Linked DNA regions of Saccharomyces cerevisiae S288C. The protein of the gene in region 3 interacts with the protein of the main gene of each other region in a pairwise test. Each region holds a gene or a part of one and is shown on either strand. Other genes may lie near its edges. The genes, in order: UBP7, SAP1, MYO5 and BNR1.

The links.
Region 1: the proteins of MYO5 (region 3) and UBP7 interact in binary tests that used the Saccharomyces cerevisiae proteins (3 or more experiments, as listed by UniProt).
Region 2: the proteins of MYO5 (region 3) and SAP1 interact in binary tests that used the Saccharomyces cerevisiae proteins (3 or more experiments, as listed by UniProt).
Region 4: the proteins of MYO5 (region 3) and BNR1 interact in binary tests that used the Saccharomyces cerevisiae proteins (3 or more experiments, as listed by UniProt).

The regions. Positions count from the first base shown.
Region 1 is NC_001141.2:46,169-51,806, reverse strand, and holds UBP7 (ubiquitin-specific protease UBP7), read right to left. Parts: upstream 3,717-5,638; coding exon 501-3,716; downstream 1-500. Other genes in the region: GUT2 (glycerol-3-phosphate dehydrogenase), read left to right, coding at 1-48; ATG44 (mitofissin), read right to left, coding at 3,834-4,046, 4,109-4,117; COA1 (Coa1p), read left to right, coding at 4,265-4,858; AIM20 (Aim20p), read right to left, coding at 4,992-5,606. UniProt on the Saccharomyces cerevisiae protein: Involved in the sorting of ubiquitinated cargo proteins at the multivesicular body (MVB).
Region 2 is NC_001137.3:243,288-248,162, forward strand, and holds SAP1 (putative AAA family ATPase SAP1), read right to left. Parts: upstream 3,217-4,875; coding exon 523-3,216; downstream 1-522. Other genes in the region: SPO73 (Spo73p), read left to right, coding at 1-324; CAJ1 (Caj1p), read right to left, coding at 3,695-4,870.
Region 3 is NC_001145.3:484,857-490,808, reverse strand, and holds MYO5 (myosin 5), read right to left. Parts: upstream 4,223-5,952; coding exon 563-4,222; downstream 1-562. Other genes in the region: HFD1 (hexadecenal dehydrogenase), read left to right, coding at 1-415; ILV2 (acetolactate synthase catalytic subunit), read right to left, coding at 4,662-5,952. UniProt on the Saccharomyces cerevisiae protein: One of two redundant type-I myosins implicated in the organization of the actin cytoskeleton. Required for proper actin cytoskeleton polarization and for the internalization step in endocytosis.
Region 4 is NC_001141.2:40,079-46,452, forward strand, and holds BNR1 (formin BNR1), read left to right. Parts: upstream 1-1,746; coding exon 1,747-5,874; downstream 5,875-6,374. Other genes in the region: SMU2 (Smu2p), read left to right, coding at 1-62; POT1 (acetyl-CoA C-acyltransferase), read right to left, coding at 113-1,366; AIM20 (Aim20p), read left to right, coding at 6,123-6,374. UniProt on the Saccharomyces cerevisiae protein: May organize microtubules by mediating spindle positioning and movement in the budding process. Potential target of the RHO family members.

The DNA.
Region 1 (5,638 bases), on a different chromosome or scaffold from region 3:
TGGGAACTTGAAAAAACTGTGAACTTCATCAAGACGTTTGGTGTCTAAATCGATCATGATAGTTAAGGGTGACAAAGATAACATTCACAAGAGTAATAATAATGGTAATGATGATAATAATAATAATGATAGTAATAACAATAATAATAATGGTGGTAATGGCAATGAAATCGCTATTATTACCTATTTTCCTTAATGGAAGAGTTAAAGTAAACTAAAAAAACTACAAAAATATATGAAGAAAAAAAAAAAAAGAGGTAATAGACTCTACTACTACAATTGATCTTCAAATTATGACCTTCCTAGTGTTTATATTCTATTTCCAATACATAATATAATCTATATAATCATTGTGTAGACTTCCGTTTTAATATCGTTTTAATTATCCCCTTTATCTCTAGTTTTATCATAAAATATAGAAACACTAAATAATATTCTTCAACGTCCTGGTGCATACGCAATACATATTTATGGTGCAAAAAAAAAAATGCAAAATTTTGCTAGTCATAAACCCTTTCATAAAACAATACGTAGACATCGCTACTTGAAATTTTCAAGTTTTTATCAGATCCATGTTTCCTATCTGCCTTGACAACCTCATCGTCGAAATAGTACCATTTAGAACGCCCAATATTCACATTGTGTTCAAGGTCTTTATTCACCAGTGACGTGTAATGGCCACTGATTAATGTGCCTGTATGGTTAACCACTCCAAATAGCTTATATTTCATAGTGTCATTGTTTTTCAATATAATGTTTAGTATCAATGGATATGTTACGACGGTGTTATTTTTCTTGGTCAAATCGTAATAAAATCTCGATAAATGGATGACTAAGATTTTTGGTAAAGTTACAAAATTTATCGTTTTCACTGTTGTCAATTTTTTGTTCTTGTAATCACTCGAGTTGTTACTATCATTACCACCAGTACTGAACGGTGTACTGGAACTGGACCTCTTCCCACTACCACCCAACATCCTGAAGGGTGATCTGGACCTTTCTCGTTCAAAGATTGTCGTATTATTATTATTGCTATTATGGCCCTCAGTAATACCGTCTCCAAAAAAGTCGAGATGACGACGCTTGGTTCCTGTATGTAATGTAAAAAACCGACTTTTTTTCTTTTTACTCTTAACAATGGATGGCTCATTCTCTAATGCAGACACAGATGTAGACACAGACGCCGTGGGGCCACAGCGTGGGCAATCCCATGCATTTTCACCAGAGAGTACCTCATCGCTTGTAAACATATTAATACAATCCTCTAACTTAACTCTTTTCTCAGTAGACCTACCAAGTTTACTCAACTTCATGGAACGTCTTGGTATAGCCAGTGATAAAACATAAAATGTGCTATAGTTGAAAGTAGTGTAACCGCACCTTTTACATTGTAAGCTGTTCTCCATTTGCCCTTGAAAAATGTCATCAATAGGAGATATACCATTACCAATGACATTTTTGTCAAACCAGTGCTTATATTCGTTGTTTGAAACCTTTAGGGCATCTGCATTATACAATAATAAATTCGGATAATCGTTCGCTACATGCTGTTGGTCGGAAAGTTCATCGTGTAACCTGTCTAAAAGTATCATTAGGAACTCTTGGGTATCCTGTTGGTCATCAGGAATTTTCAAATCGGGACGCAATTGATTGATAACTTTGAGAAATCCTGTTGGGACAACTGAGCAACCACCATTTAGATACATCTTGTTGAAGAGCATACTTAGTGAATTCGAAAGTTTAGGAGAATAATGAGATCCGTTGCTCCTTATTGGTTGCAGATAGCTCTTATATTTGGATGAAATGAAGAGTGTCCGGAATGTTTTCGCAGCGAATAGACATTGTATCATACTATTAATGTAACATGTATTGCCCAAATTTCTTAGTCCCGTGATGGACAACGAAACGTATACGTTTGGACTGCGTTCAATAGTTGGAATATTGTACGCCCTTTGCGGTTGTAATATTTGTTGGTCGTAATGCTGATGCTGGTGCTGTCTTTTTCTTTGAATAATTTCATTGGAGTTAAGTTGTTCCTTTTTGACATGCTGCTTTGCTGGTATTGGCGGCTTTCGAGAGATAGAACTGACTTGTGAATGAACCATTATCTTAGGGGGCAGAGGAGGTGGAATTTCTGGGGTTGTGGGCATTGATACAGGCGGTGGAGGTGGAGGACGTTTCCTTAACCTTATAGGCAGGTCAGGGGGCTTCCAGGAGGGAGGCTCAGGAACTTTTGTAGATGATTCCTTAGCGGAAAAAGAGTCCTGAGAATCCGGCTGCTGCTGCTGCTGCTGCTGCTCCTGTTGTAAGCGCGCCTTCTGTGAGTAAGGTCTGTACAAGTAATCTTCAATAGAGATATGATACTCCTGGGCATACGAATGCAGAGTTTTCTTCCATTTTTCGTACCCACCTAAGAGGGTAGTAGGTACAGTTGTTAAAGGAGTCTTCTGAGAAGTCAGCATCAAATAAAAAAAAATAAATGCATAATCAAAATTTATAGTCATGAAGGTCTTCACATCAGTATAGTAAACAATGTAATCAAATTTATTACGGTTTATAAAATTCTCATTCTCCTTCAGTAAATGTTCCAATATGTCATCCTTGTAGATAGGTGTGTTCGTCTGCTTGTCCCACAACAAGTTTGGATCCACATTCACTAAGTTCGGAGCCACAATGTGATTTATTGCAGATCTTTGTGGTATTCTCAAGTCGATGAGTAAAACCTTTTCACGTTCAACGCGATTCGATAAAATACTAAACAATTCTGGTGCTGTGATTATACTCTGCTTTTGTAAAATATCCAAACTCTGGATGAAGCCATCATTCTCAACGTTGAACAGATCATCATTGTCTTCCTTGAGGTTGCCGCTATCCACCATATAAACAGAATGGTAAGAATCCTTTCGATGAGTTACTGATCTATCTGCGGTTATTTCTCGAAATGGTGGGTTCAAAGATGCGAAACTAGTGTCATCCTCGTGGTATATGGAGGGTACATCTTCCAATAAAACAGATGGTCTCACTGGAACACTTGTCTTTCTTTCAGGCTCACGAAAAGCTGGCGTTGGTATCACTTCGGGCAATAAAGCCAGTTTCAATTGGTCGTTGGGCTCTAAGTTTGGTGCTGTCCAAACAGGTGAAGATTGTTCTGCGTCGTCTTCAGTAAACGTGCCTTTGAGGCCATGATCTTGCGGTGCCGCGGTGTCAAGTGATAGTGAAGCTACCTGACCTGAAAGATCGTCAGCTGGAACTGAAAATGCCCTCTTCTTGGTGATTCTGTGCTCAATACCGGCCCCGTGTTTAACCGATTCATCTAGGACCACACCGATTTCTTTCTTCACCATAAGCACAACATTGGTCATGTTCATTTCATTCTCATACATCTTTTTTAGATCTGTATAGATGCTGTAGGACTTGTTTCGTGTTTGGAACTGCAAAGATTGTGGAATAATTAAGAACACGTAGTAGCATCCAATGATAAACGCTGTCAGTGCATCGTTGGGCCTATCGTGATGGATTGAATCTAGATATAACTCGAATAGGTACTCTGTATGCTCCAGAAGGTCCAGCAGCTTCTCCAGTTTTAGCTGCGGATAGTAGTGCTTGATATCTTCGTGGTACAGGTCCTGGACCCTTCGCAGTAATTCATTTGAGTACTCAGGCGTGAACGGCGTTATATGTGGATGCATGGCCGTGCCCTTATCATCGTCTAGCATTTAAAGTTCTATGCGTAATCGATAGCGATAGCTCTTTAAGTTGCGGTTATTAATTTTGGCCCCCGGCTGGGTGCCGTTATACAAAATATTATCAACATATATAGAATATAAACGTACCTATTTCCTAGCGAAATACGTCGAGGAGCCACAAGTGGCAACAGAATAGTCGTATACAGACTCTCCCAAGTTCAAGTACCGCTTCATGTAGTTTCTCATAGTCTGATTGTCCAGAGTCTCCAGTTTAGGCGTCAAACCTGTATTGCGTTTAATCCCCGCGAGGCACGTTGATACCAAGACCAAATCTATGGATATGTGTACTAGTTTCCCTACCTAACCAATTTCTCTTGTTAGTATTACCGGATGCGTTGTTAGTAGCTCATTTGGGTACTTACTAATGTCATCTCTTTGCGTTTTGCTTGTTCTTGTTTTGATCATTGTGGAGAGAAAGAAAGCGCCTTCTTGTCATTTTAATCCCAGTTTTAAAACAGTTCGATCTTTCTCTCCGTACCAGTCCACGACATAAAAGTAAAAGATAAAACAGACTATACATGATGTTAAGACTAGTAACTAAAGGGTTGCCGAAAGTGACACCTTCTGCAGCTAAGGCTGTGCTAGTGCGTGGTTCCTTGCTGCACTCATTCTCTACCAGCGCTAGATTCAATAATAGTGTCGCTGAAGATGAGGCCAAGATCGTTTTGAAAGACAAGAACAGGCCATTGAGAATTGACAGAGAATTGCCTGACCCAACCACGGAGAGGAGAAAGCGAATAGCTGGATTTTTGTTGTTTTCTGTGGCCATTGGGTCCGCACTATCTTTGATCTTCAACTATGAAAAGACGGAGTCCCCCATTATCTCCAACACGCTGTATTATATAAGACGGTCTCCAGCAACTAAAAACATACTGGGTGAGAGCATAGAATTTGATGGTATCATCCCTTGGGTCTACGGTGAACTGAACTCTGTGAAGGGTAGGATTAACATTACGTTTTATATCAAGGGGGACAAAAACGTTACTGGAACCGTTAGACTGGTTGCCGATAGGAACACTCACGACGAAGAGTTTTTGATTCATGAATGGAGCGTCACTGCCGCTGGCCAAAAGATCGATTTGCTAGCTGAAAATACCAAGACACCAATTTAATAGCAAGTATGGTGCTATTTGTCTGTAAATATCCTTTATTATTATTTTATTTTTATCGTTATTACAAGTGGTCTGGGTATCTATACAAATGCAAAACTATGTAGGTACGTTTATATATCTATATGCATATATATTAGTGTGGCCGTAAGCTGTCAATAAATTCTCTCTTGTTGACAGTATAATTCGTAAAATCGTTTTCATATGGGTCATCCAGTTTTATTTCTTCGTGTAACGCAGTATTTTCTGTGCTCGATGACAAGTTTGACGTAGAAGCTGATCTCAAACTACTCGTTTCTTTGCGCGATAGCGTCAGTGGATACATAAAACTATAGGAAGGATCTCTGACCATCCCATAATTCACCTTTTCGCCGCTGAAAATGACGGGGACATTGGTATATGCAGTGCTCTGCTTTTTTGGACGCAAAGTCCCCATACTAGCGTTCAATTGCCTTCTGTATGCTGGTGTGTACCCTGCCTTGGCGGTTTTTTCTTGGCAGGGTTTAAGATCCTGGTTTGCTTCCTTTTCGTTTATCGTGGAAGCTTCACTTGAGCTGTTAATTTCGGCTTTAAAACCATCATATACCGACACTGCCACTTCTTCCATTACCATCTTCTCCAAATCAGCATCTCTAATCTCTTCTTTTTTGTAACGTCGTTGTAATTTACACCAAAATATCAGGGCTATTATTACGCCCACAGCAATTGGAATCCCAACTGCCGTTCCCACTGCCACAGACACATTGCCCATCTTTATTCAATAGTCTGTTTTGATGATTGAAA
Region 2 (4,875 bases), on a different chromosome or scaffold from region 3:
ATTTTACTGCCTCACGTTGACCCACCACAATTTCAAAGACTAAACACTGAAAATGGCTCGTTAATTGCCCTGTCGAAAAATACTATATCGAACTTCATAGAACTGTATCCTATCGATCTGAGTACTGAACGCACTGCAGGCAGTAGCAGTTCACAGATGACAAAGTGGTTCGTACTGATGGATTACAAGGAAAAGTACGATATTGACGATCAAGGATGGTGTTATAGCTGGAATTTCAATAACTCTAGGTGGAAATCGAAAAATGGCTTGGTGAGAAGAAGGGTCTGGGTAAGACTACCTACGACCAGTCATGGATTAGATTAGTAATAGTTTACGCTAATATTAAATTGTTTAACAAACTAAGTAGTCAAAAAAAAGAAAAAAAAAAAAAAAAAAAAGAAAAGGTGACATTATGCAGAACATATTTTATCGATCCGCTTATGTGCACACAGTTTGTCCAGCTAGGCTAGAATATTATTTATTATTACCATTATTATTATATTATTATTATTATTATCATCATCATGAACCTGATGATCCGAATTGTGAAGCCCACTTTTCGTACTTCACTAATCCGTCCTGGGATACAGAGGGCTTGATATACACTAAACTGTTCTTAAAATCCACAAGGCCTATGGGTCTTATCATCTCCCTCTCTGTTTCTAATAACTTATCACCCAGATCTCGTAGTGGGCCCATGGCAGCATCCTTCGCTAAAGACGTTATATCACTTCCTGAATAGCCCTCAGTAATCTTTACCAGTTCATCAAAATCTGATTCGGTTAACGTGTGCTTTTGATGGGAAAGAAGCTTCTTAAATTGAACGTGTCTGGTCTGGTCCTCTGGTAATGGGATATATTGTCTTCTCACAAATCTTCTCCTTGCAGCCTCATCAATAGACCATGGTAAGTTTGTCGCGGCAAGTACCAGTACCCTTGTATCATCTTCGTCGCCATTGGTGTCAGAATTGTTAGTGTTACTTTTGTTTGAACCAGCCGCTGCGCTGGACAAGGATGACCACTGAACAAGAAATTCATTCTTTATCCTTCGGCTTGACTCATTTTCATTTTCGTTATTCCTACTACCCATGATAGAGTCAATTTCATCAACAAATATTATAGAAGGTGACAATTTTTTGGCAATTGCAAATAGTGCCCTCACTAATTTTTCACTTTCACCCAAGTATTTAGATGTCAAACTGGAAGCACTAATAGAGAAAAAGGTGGAGTGCGACTCTGTAGCTACAGCTCTCGCTAGCATTGTTTTACCTGTACCTGGTGGTCCAAATAAGAGCATCCCCCTGACTGGTTCACGTAACCCCCTGAATAAGTCTGGTCTCAAAAACGGATAGACAACTGCTTCCTTCAAAGAATATTTTGCACTTTCTAAACCAGCAATATCATCCCAATGAACTTCATCTCCGTGCACTACGATTTCGGCAAAAATTTGCTTTGCAGCTTGCCTATCTACACCTTGTAAACTATCAATAATTTCATCTTCTAAAATCTCCCTCAGGACTTTCTTGTCTATTTCAGGCTCTTCTCTTTGCTCATTTAGGGAAGTGGCATGTTCAGTGGCATCTTCTGTTCCAACATCTTCTATTTTTGGAGAACCGATTTTTTTTTGTGCTGGTATTTTTCGATTCGTTTTACTCATAGACGTGGTTTGATTTTTCGATGGCTTCTTATTCTGGGATGCACCATGCGAGTATGGTTTTGAGTTACTTACAGGTCTGGAAGGATGGCTACTCGTTTTCTTCGAACTGGAATTTGGGACTTTCGCCGTTTTGGATTTCAAAATGGGGTGACTCTTCTTCGTAGTGTTTAATGCGGGGTTACTCGCAACCTTTTTGCTGTTCAGAACTCTCTTAGCAGCCATTGCAGCCGTTTTGGGTTTTTGAATTACTGAATTTGGAACAGTCAGAGAAGAGGTCGGAGACGATGCATTGGATTTGATGATTGGTTTTGTATTACTTTTTGATCTTGTAATAAATGTTGGCGTTGATTTAGTGATAAGAGTGGGCGTTGATTTGGTACCCTTTAAGTATGGTACGTGATTATTCTTCATTAATTTTGATATTTGAGGATTCCTAATCTTTGATGAATCCATAGTAGTAGAAGTTTCTAAACTATGTGGCTTTAGAGCGCCAGTGCTGGACGCTCTATCGACATTTAATAAAGGAGGTGGAGGTAATGAAGGAAGAGCAGGGGCGGTAGTCGGCAGGGACTGTATGCATGATCCGGGAACATTTTCTGAAGAACTTACACTCTTATTACTGGACGTAGAAGAAGTAACAGACAAGTCAGACATTTGCTGTTGAATTGCTTCTAACGTTTTTATACGTCGTCTTTCCTCTTTTTCTTCTTCTTCTTCTTCTACGTCGACTTCGGAGAAATTATCATAGTAATCGGACACATCAAACTCGAAACCATCACTTTCTTCTTCATCAAAAACGTTGTGTCCTTTTAAAATGCCGACATCGTGATCATCCTCGTCATTAGTCAAATCTATCAATATTGGCTCTGAGATATATTTATCTGAGTACAGTTCAGTTTCCTTCTTAAGTGGAGGATCATTGTGCTCAATAGGGTTCTTGTGCTGTCTGCTTGCATTGTTGGATAAAGGCTTAGAAGGTACAAAATTTACTCTAATGTTCTCCGCATCTTCTCCGCGTTTTATCGATGTGCTGTTACCATATGATGATAGTGAGGGGTTGGAGTATGCGGTTTTATAGCCGCATGCATTTCTATTTCTTAATGTTTTCATCATTCTTCCGGGAACCATTTGGAATACAGGAGGTGGTTCAGTAGACCTTGTGAAAGATGAGCTATGATTAGTGTATGTTTTGGATGACGGCATATCATTCCTGGGAGCAGGCTCTTCTCGGACCAATTTTTTGACTCTTTTCAAATGCATAACGCTCTTGTGGTACAATTCTCGAATACCGTTCTGTAAACTAACTTCATCTTTCGTGTATGATTGAGTATTTGGGTAGTTATGCTCTATCAATGTCTGTTTGAATAGTACATCAGTGGTAAGCGCTTTCCATCCTTGCAATGCTTCTTTATATCGTTTTTTCTCTTCTAGGTTCAAGTAATATATTGTCTCATTGGCAATTCTACTGTAAAGTTCTGTAAAGTCGGTTAACGGTTGTTGAGGTCTTCTCCGTATCTTGGTTAATCTCGTTAAAATATGATGGCTTCTTTGTGAATCCATAGTGTCACAGTGCGATATAATCAATCCTGGTAAAACCGCACGAGTGAAAGGGAAAGAAAAATTGCGTTTGTTAGCTGCAATAAATGTAAAAAGACTATATTAAAAAAAGAACTGCAGCCTTTATTATTACCAATATATTTGATAAGAAAGTATATCGGACGCGTATTGTAGTTCTTGGGGAGCCGGTTGCTGTTGCTTCAGCCTCTTATGACCGTGAATCAAGAATTTTTATTATTCTTGATTTCAATTTTCTCCGCGAATCTCGGCTAAGATGCTTGGGTTGCCAGTGTTAATTCCATATATATACTGAATAATAGAAAATAAGTTAAAACATAAGTGCTGAAGACTTGAAAGGTTGGTGTGAGAAAACCCGTATGCCTGTGATATGTCTAGAATACATAGGGTTTTTTTTCTTCGCTTTGTAATTGATTGCGCTATATATGAAAAATATACATGAGGCGTTATTAACTTGCTGAGCTTATCTGGCCACAGTATGTTTTTTGTGTTCCTTCTCCTGCTCACCTAGGATTAGCTCTTCAAAAACTCTAGCTTCTTCAGCTTCTTCTGGTGACCTTCTAGCACTGGCAAACTTGTGGGCAATAAACAGCATTGCTTTTGCCTTTGCAATACGTTCCTTGGAAGGGACCTTTTTATCGTTTAGAATCTTATTGCAAACGTCTTTTAGTTTTCTTTCCAGTTCAAATTTCGACATAGCCCACATGACACCAAGTGCCTTACCAGCCATTGTGGACTCAAATTTGGCACGTTCATATTGGTCTAGTTCGTCAGTATTGACTTCACTCATTTTTTCCATGGCTTTTTGAGCTTCTAAGCCTGTAGACAATAAATTGTATGCTGATTTAACAGATCTAGCATTGTCGCGTGTACCAGTGAATATTTTAGAAATTCCGTAAGTCTTCTTGGACATGATAAAATTATTCGCTTTTGTCTTGTAAACCCTGGCCAATAAATACAATAACTCTAGACCAAAACTTTCTAATTTCAAATCCTCGATTTCTTGATCTAGTTTTCGCGTAAATTCCTCCAAGTTATTGGACTTCACAGCAATTAAGTACCTAGAGATTTTTTCGTTCAGTTTTTCTGCCAACTCGTCGACTTGTTTCATCATATCTTCCCGTCTTTTTTTCTCCATTTCCATTAGCTTCTCTCTTTGCTCCTTCGATAATTTATCTTTTTTCAAAGATTCAGCTTTATTAGTGTCATGCTTAACCATTCCACCATCAGTGCTCTCATCTGCTTTTTCGGTTTCAGTGGCTGCTGTACCCTCCTCATCTTCCTTTCCAAACATTTCTGTTGCCTCGTTTAGCTCTTTGAACAAAGAAAATTCTCCAATCCAATCTTTGAAGCCATCACCACCGAATATTGCTGTAAAGTATTCAGAAGCATCTTCAAATCCTTGCTGAGGAACAGCATCCTCCTTACCAAACTGGTCATACTTGGAACGAAGCCCTGGATCACTTAAGACTTGGTAGGCCTCGCCTACGGCTTGAAACTTTGCTTGAGCATCTGGGTCATCAGGATGCTTGTCCGGATGTGTTTCCATAGCCTTTCTACGATAGGCCTTTTTGATTTCAGTGGGCGTGGCCTCAGGCTTGATGCCCAAAATATCATAATACTCCGTCTCCTTTACCATATTCC
Region 3 (5,952 bases):
CACTCCATTGGTGCAATACATATTCTCTGATAGCCAAACTGAAATAAATCGTATCTTGACGCGCTTAAGATCTGGTGACTGTGTTGTCGGTGATACAGTGATTCATGTAGGAATTACCGACGCTCCATTTGGAGGGATCGGTACTTCAGGTTATGGTAACTATGGTGGATATTATGGATTCAATACCTTTAGTCATGAAAGAACAATTTTTAAACAACCATATTGGAATGATTTTACCCTTTTTATGAGATACCCTCCAAATAGCGCACAAAAGGAAAAGCTCGTCCGTTTTGCGATGGAAAGAAAACCTTGGTTTGACAGAAATGGCAATAACAAGTGGGGGTTACGCCAATATTTTTCATTATCTGCCGCCGTTATTTTAATTAGTACCATTTACGCTCATTGTTCTTCCTGAACGTAATGTTTAAGGTTAATTAATTATTTGATGTATAAGTAACCTTTCGTTTAAAAATTTCATATGGGCGATAATATATCAATATTTATTAATTACAATTTACTCTATTTGCTCGTATAGAGTATATACTCGCTAAATACATTTTGATTACCAATCATCTTCCTCTTCATCTTCGTTAGCCTCCTCGTCATCACTCTCTAATCTCATTTTATTGGCCCTAGCAGCAAGCGCATTCGCCAAACCATCACCCAAACTTGCTTGGGCTGCAGCTGGAATAACGTTTGCAGAGGTGTTATCATGTTGTACAGAATTCAGAACGGGTTTAGGAACATCCCTGTTTTGAGGAGGAGTAGGGATATTATTATTTCCGGAATGTGGTTTCATGTAAGCTGTTGGCACCCAACCTTCCTTAGAGCCATCCAGAAGTTTCCCGAGAGACCAACCGCTTGGTTCTTCTCTTGTAATGTAAATTACGTCTCCTTTCTTTAAAGGTAACTCAGATGGTGATCCTGAACCAGGAAAATCGTAAGCCGCTTCAAACATGGGTTCTTTTGGCTTTGAAGAGGGTGGGGGTGGAGGAGGTGGTGGAGGGATATTTGCCTGTCTACCAGAGCCCATTGCGGCAGCAGCGGGTGTAGCAGCGGGTGTAGCACGAGTGGCAGCAGTAGGGGGAGAAGGACGGGCATTACTTTGGGATGCAGTGAGAGTGGAAGCAGGATTAGGAACAGATCTTCTTGTAGCAGCTTTGTTCTGCATTCCTGGTGGTGGAGGGGCAGGCTTTTTAGAATGCCTAGAAGCCGGGGCGGTGGGAACATGCTGGGCTGCAGCAATCGAAACTGGCCTCCTCGTTGCTTGCGAGGAACTAGCATGATATCCTGAAGAGATTGAACTCTTTTTTCTCGGTTTTTTGTGCACTTGAGAATTAGGTGGGTTACCACGACGAACTGATATTGTACTGGATTTATATATGTCGCCATATTTTGGTGCAGATTCATTGATTTGACATTTCACTGAATGCAACTTTCCAGGTTTCTTTTGGTACTCTATCGCCGAGCCTATTTTAATTTGAATTTTGTCGTTAAGCCTTTTCAGATGCGTTATGAGTTCTGTTTTGAAATATGTGTTGATTAAGGGGTCAGGTTGACCTGAGCTAGCCAACTTAATGGCGACCCAATCATCCTGTAAATTGGTTAAACTAACCGCTTGAATGTTTCGCACATCGATTTTATAATCCTGAGTATAGGTCATAGCATTTTGGACCAAAGTCTGACCAACAATGTACAATGTAGTTGGAGTTAATAGGAAAGTTTTTTTCAATCTTTGTGCAGAACGGCCAAATTTTGTATGCAAGGCCTCACCATGTATGGAAAAGATGACCTTCTCTTTAATGCTCACTTGTCTTTTGATATAAGCGCCCTTCGATTTGGACTCGTTGCATGATAGATAATCACCCATGAAGGCTCTGTAACCTAATAAGGACATAGACCTTCTTTCTTTTCTTCCACCCAAAACCTTCGTACCATAATCCCGGAGCTTCTCATACTTATTACCTTCCTTCCTCTCCCTGATGGTGCGCTGGATCTTAGTGGCCGCATCAATTCTTCTTTGCAAAAATCTCCTCCAAGCACGTTGGATTCTGGCAGCCATATTGTGCCAGTATCTATCTCTCATATGCTCCAAAGCAAATAATGTTTCAGGTGTTTTGATGAAAACACTTGTGACACCCAATTGGTACTCCTGCTGTGGGATAGAGGAATCTTGCAATATATACTTAACAGCATCTAAGGTATCACCTTGCCATGTATAGTCACCAGCGTAAGAACAGTGTGGAGATAATAAATAAAATCTTTCCACGAACTTCTCAAACACTTGTCTATATGCAAAACCTGCTCTTCTGATACGCACGTTTTCTTGCAGACCTAGATACTTAATCTGGTGTAGAACTTGCCGATCGTCATAATCGTTAGGAGATTTGGTTTCGTTTGGTTTAATTGTTCTGATATATGAAGGTTGTGCTTTTGATAAAGTTTCAACCAAATCATTTGCACTCTTTATAATTTTGTCGCCTGCTGTAGGTGGCCTTCTTTTTGATTCTCTGTCTACAGTATCCGGGAAAATGGTGGCTAAAAATGTATTGGTAGTGGTACCAATTAATTCTACCAGATCCTTTTGTAATTGATCCTTATTTTTATCTGTAATACCGTCAATATCGTATGTGACATCACCGGCATAATGCTTAATAACAAACTTGTTAGATCTCAAGTCAAAATGTGGATTTGTTGTGAACAAGTTCAAACGCTGAGCAAAAGCCTGATCAGCAGCATTTGAATCCGCGTGTGCAGTTGCAACAGAATCATTCATTGCTGCAAATATACCAGGTGGTCTTCTTGCCTCAATCAAATCACACACAACCTTGTTATCAAAGTATTTAATTGGGGTCCATTGGATTTTTTCTCTCTCGTAAGTTTCTTGCTCAGATTTCAATGTCAATTGAATAAAGATTTGTTGTAACTTTTCATTAACATAATTGATACAAATCTGCTCAAAAGAGTTATGTTCAAAAATTTCAAAGCCGTAAATATCAAGAATACCAATGGATTTTTCAGCGCCTGGAAAAGCCTGCAGAGATTTGTTAACCCTACTCACAATCCAGTCAAATAAGTTATTGTAAATAGCCTTTGCCAAAGCATCTCTAACCGCATCTGCTTGGACAATATTCAATGGAACATGATACACTGACCCTCTTTTCATACCATGATTGGTTTCCATAATTCTTTCCACAAGTGATTTAATCAGCAATTGGCTATCTATTTGTAACAAGTAAGCAACAAAATCGGTTACTGAGGTGTCCCTAACTTGCGCATTCCCCTCCTCATTTTCTATAAAGGAAACATTACCAATCCAAAGAATTGCAGCTAACATCCTGAAAATTTGGTCTTGTTCTTCTTGACCGAGACCAATAACTCTCATAGCTTTTAATGTCTCTTGATAATCTTGCAAATCATCAATTGTCTCAGCAGATATGCAACCCGCAGCAGCTGTGTACACATATTGTTCCGGTTTTTGGACCCCAAATGTTTGCCTATAAGCATCGGAAGCACCTTTCGTGAACTGATAGAATATATGGAAATTTCTTTCATTCTTAATTTGACTCACAACTCTCTGCTTCTCCAATAAATAGTTTGTGATATTACCAGCACATGGTTCAAACTGGTTATTGAATTTTATTTCTAGATATTTCCCATGTCTAGAAGAGTTGTTATTTCTTAGAGTCTTTGCACAGCCAAAAGATTCCAACAATGGATTAGTGGCTAAAACCATGTCTTTAATCTTTCCAATTGACTCCGTATGTGTGCTAGAAGCAGCCGCAATATATTGCATAATTCTTTTAGCTGCTTCAGTTTTACCGGCACCTGATTCACCTGAAATAATAACACACTGATTTTCATTATATGATTTCATGTTGTAGTACATAGACTCTGCAATTGCAAATACATGGGGTGGAACTTCCAATCTATTCTTACCTTTGTATTCATTCATAACAGCATCAGTATAGATTCCGAGGTCTCGGAATGGATTGACACTAATTAACACATGACCTATATAAGTGTAGATTGTAGCATTCAAAAATCTCTTCTTCAAGTTTTCATTTATGGCTTCGTCGGAGATTTTAGAAAGAAGCGTCAGATCAGACACACCAACTTCTTTCTTCTTCGAGGAATCAAAAGTAGCTTTCTTGATATTCGCAGAGCGTTTAGCTGGCTCCTGATGTACCTTTTTTCTAGCTCCTCTTTTTAAGATAGCCATTTCTATAAAGCGGTTAAATTCGTATTGGCCACTGTTCTTATGCTTTATTATAAACTATAACCTTTAAATACATAGTCCAGTTTGTATTTTCCAAGCTTGCAATTTTTGACGGCCCCTTTTCGAGAAATATTTTTGATGATTGACAAAACGAGAAAGAAGTCGTGTCCGACGAGTTAAAACACACCATTTGAATACATATGCTACGTATCCACTTTAGATTTATCAAATACTACCAACTCACTTGAATTGAACTTATTATTCATCTATGACTTAATTTTAGCCGTCATTAGTTTTTTAGAAAAAAATATATAAAGTATATACGAAAAAAATATACATGACTACCGATTTGGTAGAATGTCATATATAAGAAGCACGATTAAATAATAATAAAGTCTGCATTTTTTACTGAAAATGCTTTTGAAATAAATGTTTTTGAAATTCAGTGCTTACCGCCTGTACGCTTATGACGTAATTCAGTCTGTTGTCTTTCAACTTCTGGGTCAAAATTTATGAACTCGTCTAGACCGCTACCACCTGCCACCATTGGCAAAACAGGAACTTTTTTATCAACTTCCACTTCAAGCAAAACTGGGCCCTTGGTAGAAACGAATTCTTTCAACTTAGCGTCCAATTCCTCTTGCTTCTTGACTCTTAAACCTTTTAAACCCATAGCCTCCGCTAGTTTTATGAAATCAGGGTTCAATTGATGTGTGTGGGAATAACGATGTTCGTAGAACAGGGATTGCCATTGAGTAACCATACCTTGCTCTTCATTGTTCAAAATCAAAATCTTCACTGGAGTACCAGCTTGAACGGCAGAACTCAATTCCGTTAGAGTCATGTTAAAGGATGCGTCACCATCAATGTCAATAACCAAAGATTCTGGCTTTGCAACTTGAGCACCGATGGCGGCAGGGAGACCGTAACCCATCGTACCTAAACCACCTGATGTGATGAAAGTATGTGGATTTCTCCATGTCCAGTGTTGAGCAGCCCACATTTGATGTTGCCCCACACCCGTTGTAACAATGACATGTCTTCCTGTGTCGTTGGCAACCTTGGATAGTTTCTTTATAACCGTCTGTGGTTTAATTTTAGATCCTGGAGTCTCCTCCATATAAGCGTATGGGTATTCCTTCTTCCATTTATTTATTTGAGCAAACCATTCAGACCTCTCCTTAACTGGGAAAATCTTTGACATCATTTTGCCCAGATTGGTCGTAGCATCACCTTCCACTGCTATTTGAGTTTGAACAACCTTGTTTATGTTTTTTGGACTAACCTCGAAATGAATAATACCACCTCTACCCTCGGCAGCTGCACGACGAGCTTCTGGAGCGAATTTAGAAATATTACCAGTGACACGGTCGTCGAATCTAGCACCAACTGCAATTATCAAGTCGGCATTTTGCACTGCCAGGTTGGCAGTAGCACAACCGTGCATACCAAGCATATCCAATGATTTTGGATCTTCTTGGTCGAATGAACCTAAACCTTGTAAAGTAGTGGTGACAGGTATTTGAGCACGGTCACTTAATTCTTTTAGTAATCTTGGACCATCTGCATGGTTTAAAATACCAGCACCGACGTATAAGACAGGTTTCTTTGCCAAGTTGATCAAATCTGCTGCTTTATTGATACTTTGCATGACAAATTCATCTTGTGCGCGACTGGTTAATTGGTTTAGTGCGTTTGATGGAAGAGTTGTTTTTGTTGGAATTGGATTTCTT
Region 4 (6,374 bases), on a different chromosome or scaffold from region 3:
TGAAAATGGAAAATTATAAACAAATTGATAAACTACGTAATAGCTTTTACAAAACCATATAAATATGAGCATAATAAAAAGGGAGAATATTAACTATTATCAAGTATTAAAACTATTCTTTAATAAAGATGGCGGCGGCACCCATACCAGTACCGATACACATACTAACAACCCCGATTTGATCCTTTTTCAGTTCTCTTAGTATGGTAGCTACTTGCCTTGCGCCAGTACAACCCAAGGGATGGCCTAACGCGATTGCACCACCTCTTGGATTTACTTTATTCAAATCGATGCCCAGTTTATGGATGCAGTATAATGCTTGGGCCGCGAATGCTTCATTTATTTCAAAAATATCGATATCTTGGACTTGCAAGCCAGTAGCTTCCAGGACTTTTGGTATGGCGTATGCAGGGCCCACACCCATGATTTCAGGGGGAACCCCCACTGTTTGAAAATCGATGTAGCGACCTAGCACAGGCAGATTTAACTGGTTGGCTACGGACCTGCGGGCTAACAAGACACCTGCCACACCATCGGAGACCTGGGATGCATTGCCCGCAGTTGTGGTTCCTCTGTCTTTGATAAAGGCAGGCCTGATGCTTGAAAGCGACTCCGCAGTGACGTTAGGGCGTGGCCCTTCGTCCGACTGGCAAATTGAGCCATCTGGTAATTTTATAGGTAAAATTTCATCTTCGAAAAGCCCCTCATTTTTCGCCTTGTAAGCTTTTTGATATGAATTCGCAGCGAACTCGTCTTGATCCTTTCTACTGATCTTGAAATTAGCGGCAACATTCTCATTAGTAATGCCCATTGGTATTAGACATTTCTTCGCTTCTCGGTTTTTTTGCAGCTCTTCAGAGGAGATCATGCCCAAGGGATTGACGTTTTTGTAGTTATTGGTCATTGATTCCACTCCCAGCGCCAAACCAATATCAATTTGCCCAACCTTAATCTTGTTGGCAATATCGTTCACCGCCGTTAAACCTGAAGAACATTGTCTGTTTAAAGCGACAAATGGCGTCGAGTAGGGAATCCCACTTGCCAAGCATGCAGCCCTGTGTTCTGTAGCACCGGCTCCAACATTGAGAACATTTCCACAGGCAACTTCTTCGATTAAGTTCAAATCAGCCCTCAAAGGTTCCGGAAACCTCCCGATGAACTCATTGAGAAAGTTGTATAATAAGTAGTCTGTGTTTACATCTTTGAAGGCACCTTTAAAACCTTTACCGATGGCAGACCTGTTAGCAGCCACAATAACTACATCTTCGGGTCTTTTCTCCAGCAACGAGTTCTTCCTCTTCGATTCACCCTTACCCATGGCGCTCTCCACCAAATGATCCTTGATACTTTGTAGTCTTTGAGACATTGCTTTTATGTAGTGTTATATTCACTCTGTACTCAGAGCCACAAGAAATAACCATTCGATTTCAATAGAACTGAGATGCAAAAGTATACCCTATTTATATCTCTTCTTTCTAGTAAAACTCCAATAAATTTGAAACCAATAGAGGGAGAAAGGAAAAAAAAGCTGCGGTGTTAATACTATTATCCCCGTTTCCCTTTGATAGCGCCTTACACGGCGCTACCACATCATTACCCTCCTCATGTTGACGCGTCAAGTTTTTTTTCTTTTTTCGCTATTTGTGGCATAGGTTCAAAACTAGCAAATTCTTGATCTTTTGAAGATTACATAGTGATGATGATCGTGACACAAAAGCAGATAAAAAAATAGCACAATCATCAGCGATGGACTCTTCCCCGAACAAGAAGACGTACCGCTACCCTCGCAGATCGCTGTCACTTCACGCGCGTGATAGGGTCAGCGAAGCCCGTAAATTGGAAGAATTGAATTTGAACGATGGGCTGGTTGCCGCTGGCTTGCAGTTGGTCGGTGTAGCGTTAGAGAAACAAGGTACAGGATCACATATATACATGAAACAGAAGAATTTCTCAGCTAATGACGTTTCTTCGTCACCAATGGTTTCCGAAGAAGTGAACGGATCGGAAATGGATTTTAATCCGAAGTGCATGCCTCAGGACGCATCACTCGTCGAAAGAATGTTTGATGAGCTTTTAAAAGATGGAACTTTTTTTTGGGGGGCTGCTTATAAGAATTTACAAAACATCTCTCTACGAAGGAAATGGTTATTGATATGTAAAATCCGTAGTTCCAATCATTGGGGGAAAAAGAAAGTGACTTCGAGCACGACATACTCTACACATTTGGCCACTAATGAACTAGCTGAAAACGCACACTTTTTGGATGGCCTAGTTAGAAACCTTTCAACAGGTGGCATGAAGTTATCGAAGGCTCTATATAAACTAGAAAAATTCCTGCGAAAGCAAAGCTTTTTGCAACTTTTTCTCAAGGATGAAATTTACTTGACGACATTGATCGAAAAGACTTTGCCACTCATATCCAAGGAATTACAATTTGTTTATCTTCGGTGCTTTAAAATACTGATGAACAACCCACTGGCGAGAATAAGAGCACTACATTCTGAGCCTTTAATTCGCTGGTTCACCGAGCTTCTGACGGATCAAAATTCTAATTTGAAATGTCAGTTACTTTCTATGGAGTTACTTTTATTATTAACGTATGTTGAGGGTTCCACGGGTTGTGAGTTGATATGGGACCAGCTTTCCATATTATTCACCGATTGGCTAGAATGGTTTGACAAAATCCTTGCGGATGATATTGCAATTCATTCATCCCTTTATTTGAACTGGAACCAATTAAAAATAGACTATTCGACAACTTTCCTACTGCTAATAAACTCCATACTGCAAGGTTTCAACAACAAGACTGCACTAGAAATTTTGAATTTTTTGAAAAAGAATAATATACATAACACTATCACATTTTTAGAACTGGCCTATAAAGATGATCCTAATAGTGTCGTGATCATGGAACAAATAAAACAATTCAAATCCAAAGAATCTGCGATATTTGACTCGATGATAAAAACTACCAACGATACGAATTCGCTTCACCCAACAAAAGATATCGCAAGAATAGAAAGCGAGCCTCTATGTCTTGAAAATTGCCTGTTATTGAAGGCAAAAGATAGTCCCGTAGAGGCACCAATAAACGAGATTATTCAATCGCTGTGGAAAATCTTAGACTCTCAAAAACCATACTCAGAATCTATTAAACTATTAAAATTGATAAATTCTTTGCTGTTTTATCTCATAGATTCCTTTCAAGTGTCAACGAATCCTTCTTTTGATGAAACCTTGGAGTCCGCAGAAAATGTGGATTATGTTTTTCAAGATTCTGTTAATAAATTGTTGGATTCTCTACAATCTGATGAAATTGCTAGAAGAGCGGTCACAGAAATTGATGATCTTAATGCTAAGATTTCTCATTTGAATGAAAAATTAAATTTAGTAGAAAATCATGATAAAGATCATTTAATAGCAAAACTAGATGAAAGTGAATCTTTGATATCTCTGAAAACCAAGGAAATTGAAAATCTGAAACTGCAGTTGAAGGCAACCAAGAAAAGACTAGACCAAATTACCACGCATCAAAGGTTATATGACCAGCCACCTTCATTGGCAAGTAGCAACTTGAGTATTGCCGGCTCGATAATAAAAAATAATAGTCATGGAAATATCATTTTCCAAAATTTAGCAAAAAAGCAACAGCAGCAGCAAAAAATTTCTCTGCCCAAGCGTTCAACTAGTCTACTAAAAAGTAAAAGAGTTACGTCCCTTTCATCATATTTAACTGATGCAAATAACGAAAATGAGTCCCAAAATGAATCCGAAGATAAATCAAAAGACTCATTATTTCAAAGATCTACGTCAACCATTAATTTTAATATCCCTTCTATGAAAAATATTACTAATATGCAAAATGTCTCTCTAAATTCGATACTTTCAGAGTTGGAATTTTCAAATAGCCTAGGAACACAACCTAATTACCAATCGTCTCCCGTGTTGTCTTCGGTTTCTTCTTCACCAAAACTTTTCCCTCGACTTTCCTCAGATAGTCTTGATAATGGAATCCAACTAGTACCTGAAGTTGTTAAACTACCTCAACTTCCACCGCCCCCTCCTCCACCTCCCCCTCCTCCACTTCCACAGTCTCTTTTGACTGAAGCAGAAGCTAAACCGGATGGTGTTTCCTGTATTGCAGCACCTGCACCGCCACCCCTTCCAGATCTATTTAAAACTAAAACTTGTGGCGCCGTTCCACCACCACCACCGCCACCGCCTTTACCCGAGTCCTTGTCGATGAACAAAGGCCCCTCCAATCACGATTTAGTTACTCCTCCAGCTCCACCTTTACCAAATGGTCTTCTTTCTTCCTCCTCAGTGTCTATCAATCCAACGACAACCGATTTAAAACCACCTCCAACTGAAAAGCGATTGAAGCAAATCCACTGGGATAAGGTGGAGGATATCAAAGACACACTTTGGGAAGACACGTTTCAACGCCAAGAAACAATCAAAGAATTACAAACTGATGGTATATTCTCTCAGATTGAAGATATTTTTAAGATGAAAAGTCCGACTAAGATTGCAAATAAAAGGAACGCAGAATCCTCAATTGCCTTGTCTTCAAACAATGGCAAGTCTTCCAATGAGCTGAAGAAAATTTCATTCTTATCAAGAGATTTGGCTCAGCAATTTGGTATTAATTTACACATGTTTTCCCAATTATCTGATATGGAATTTGTTATGAAAGTATTGAACTGTGATAACGACATTGTCCAAAATGTTAACATACTGAAATTTTTTTGTAAAGAAGAGTTAGTAAATATACCAAAAAGTATGCTTAATAAGTACGAGCCATATTCACAGGGTAAGGATGGTAAAGCAGTAAGTGACTTACAAAGAGCTGACAGAATATTTTTGGAGTTGTGTATCAATTTAAGATTTTATTGGAATGCAAGATCAAAGAGTCTGCTGACATTGTCAACATACGAGAGAGATTATTACGATTTGATTTTCAAGTTACAAAAAATTGATGATGCAATTTCACACTTAAATCGTTCACCTAAATTTAAAAGTTTGATGTTTATTATCACGGAAATAGGCAATCATATGAATAAAAGAATTGTTAAGGGTATCAAATTGAAGTCATTGACTAAACTTGCCTTTGTCAGATCCAGTATTGATCAAAATGTATCATTTTTGCATTTTATTGAAAAAGTCATAAGAATAAAATATCCTGATATATACGGTTTTGTGGATGATTTGAAGAACATTGAAGATTTAGGTAAAATCTCACTAGAACACGTTGAATCAGAGTGTCATGAATTTCATAAAAAAATTGAGGATTTAGTTACTCAGTTTCAAGTAGGAAAGCTATCCAAAGAGGAGAACTTAGACCCCAGAGATCAAATTATTAAAAAGGTCAAGTTTAAGATTAATCGGGCCAAAACAAAAAGTGAATTATTGATTGGTCAATGTAAATTAACTTTAATAGATTTGAATAAACTGATGAAATATTACGGTGAAGATCCCAAAGATAAAGAGAGTAAAAACGAATTTTTCCAACCCTTTATTGAATTTTTAGCCATGTTTAAGAAATGTGCCAAGGAAAACATTGAAAAGGAGGAAATGGAAAGAGTGTACGAACAAAGGAAGAGCTTGTTAGATATGAGGACAAGCAGTAATAAGAAAAGCAATGGAAGTGATGAAAACGATGGTGAAAAAGTAAACAGGGATGCTGTTGATCTACTCATATCTAAATTACGCGAAGTAAAGAAGGATCCAGAACCTCTAAGAAGAAGAAAGAGTACAAAACTCAATGAAATAGCCATTAACGTACATGAAGGAGATGTAAAAACGAGAAAGGATGAAGATCACGTTTTACTAGAGAGAACGCATGCTATGCTGAACGATATTCAAAATATATAGTGAAGACTTAGTATTTTATGTAGTTGTGGAGCTTATATAAAGAAATGGACAATATTCGCAATCGCTTCTCAAAAGGGAAATATTTTCCCTTTTCGGGCGGTGGTCGTGTTGACAAATTTCCTAGTTAAGAACTAAGATTTGGAGATGGACAGATTCATTAATAAATTTCAAAATAAGCACAGAAAGCATCGAATTTTTAGCTCAAAACAATCTACTTTTCAATCATCAAAACAGACTATTGAATAAAGATGGGCAATGTGTCTGTGGCAGTGGGAACGGCAGTTGGGATTCCAATTGCTGTGGGCGTAATAATAGCCCTGATATTTTGGTGTAAATTACAACGACGTTACAAAAAAGAAGAGATTAGAGATGCTGATTTGGAGAAGATGGTAATGGAAGAAGTGGCAGTGTCGGTATATGATGGTTTTAAAGCCGAAATTAACAGCTCAAGTGAAGCTTCCACGATAAACGAAAAGGAAGCAAACCAGGATCTTAAACCC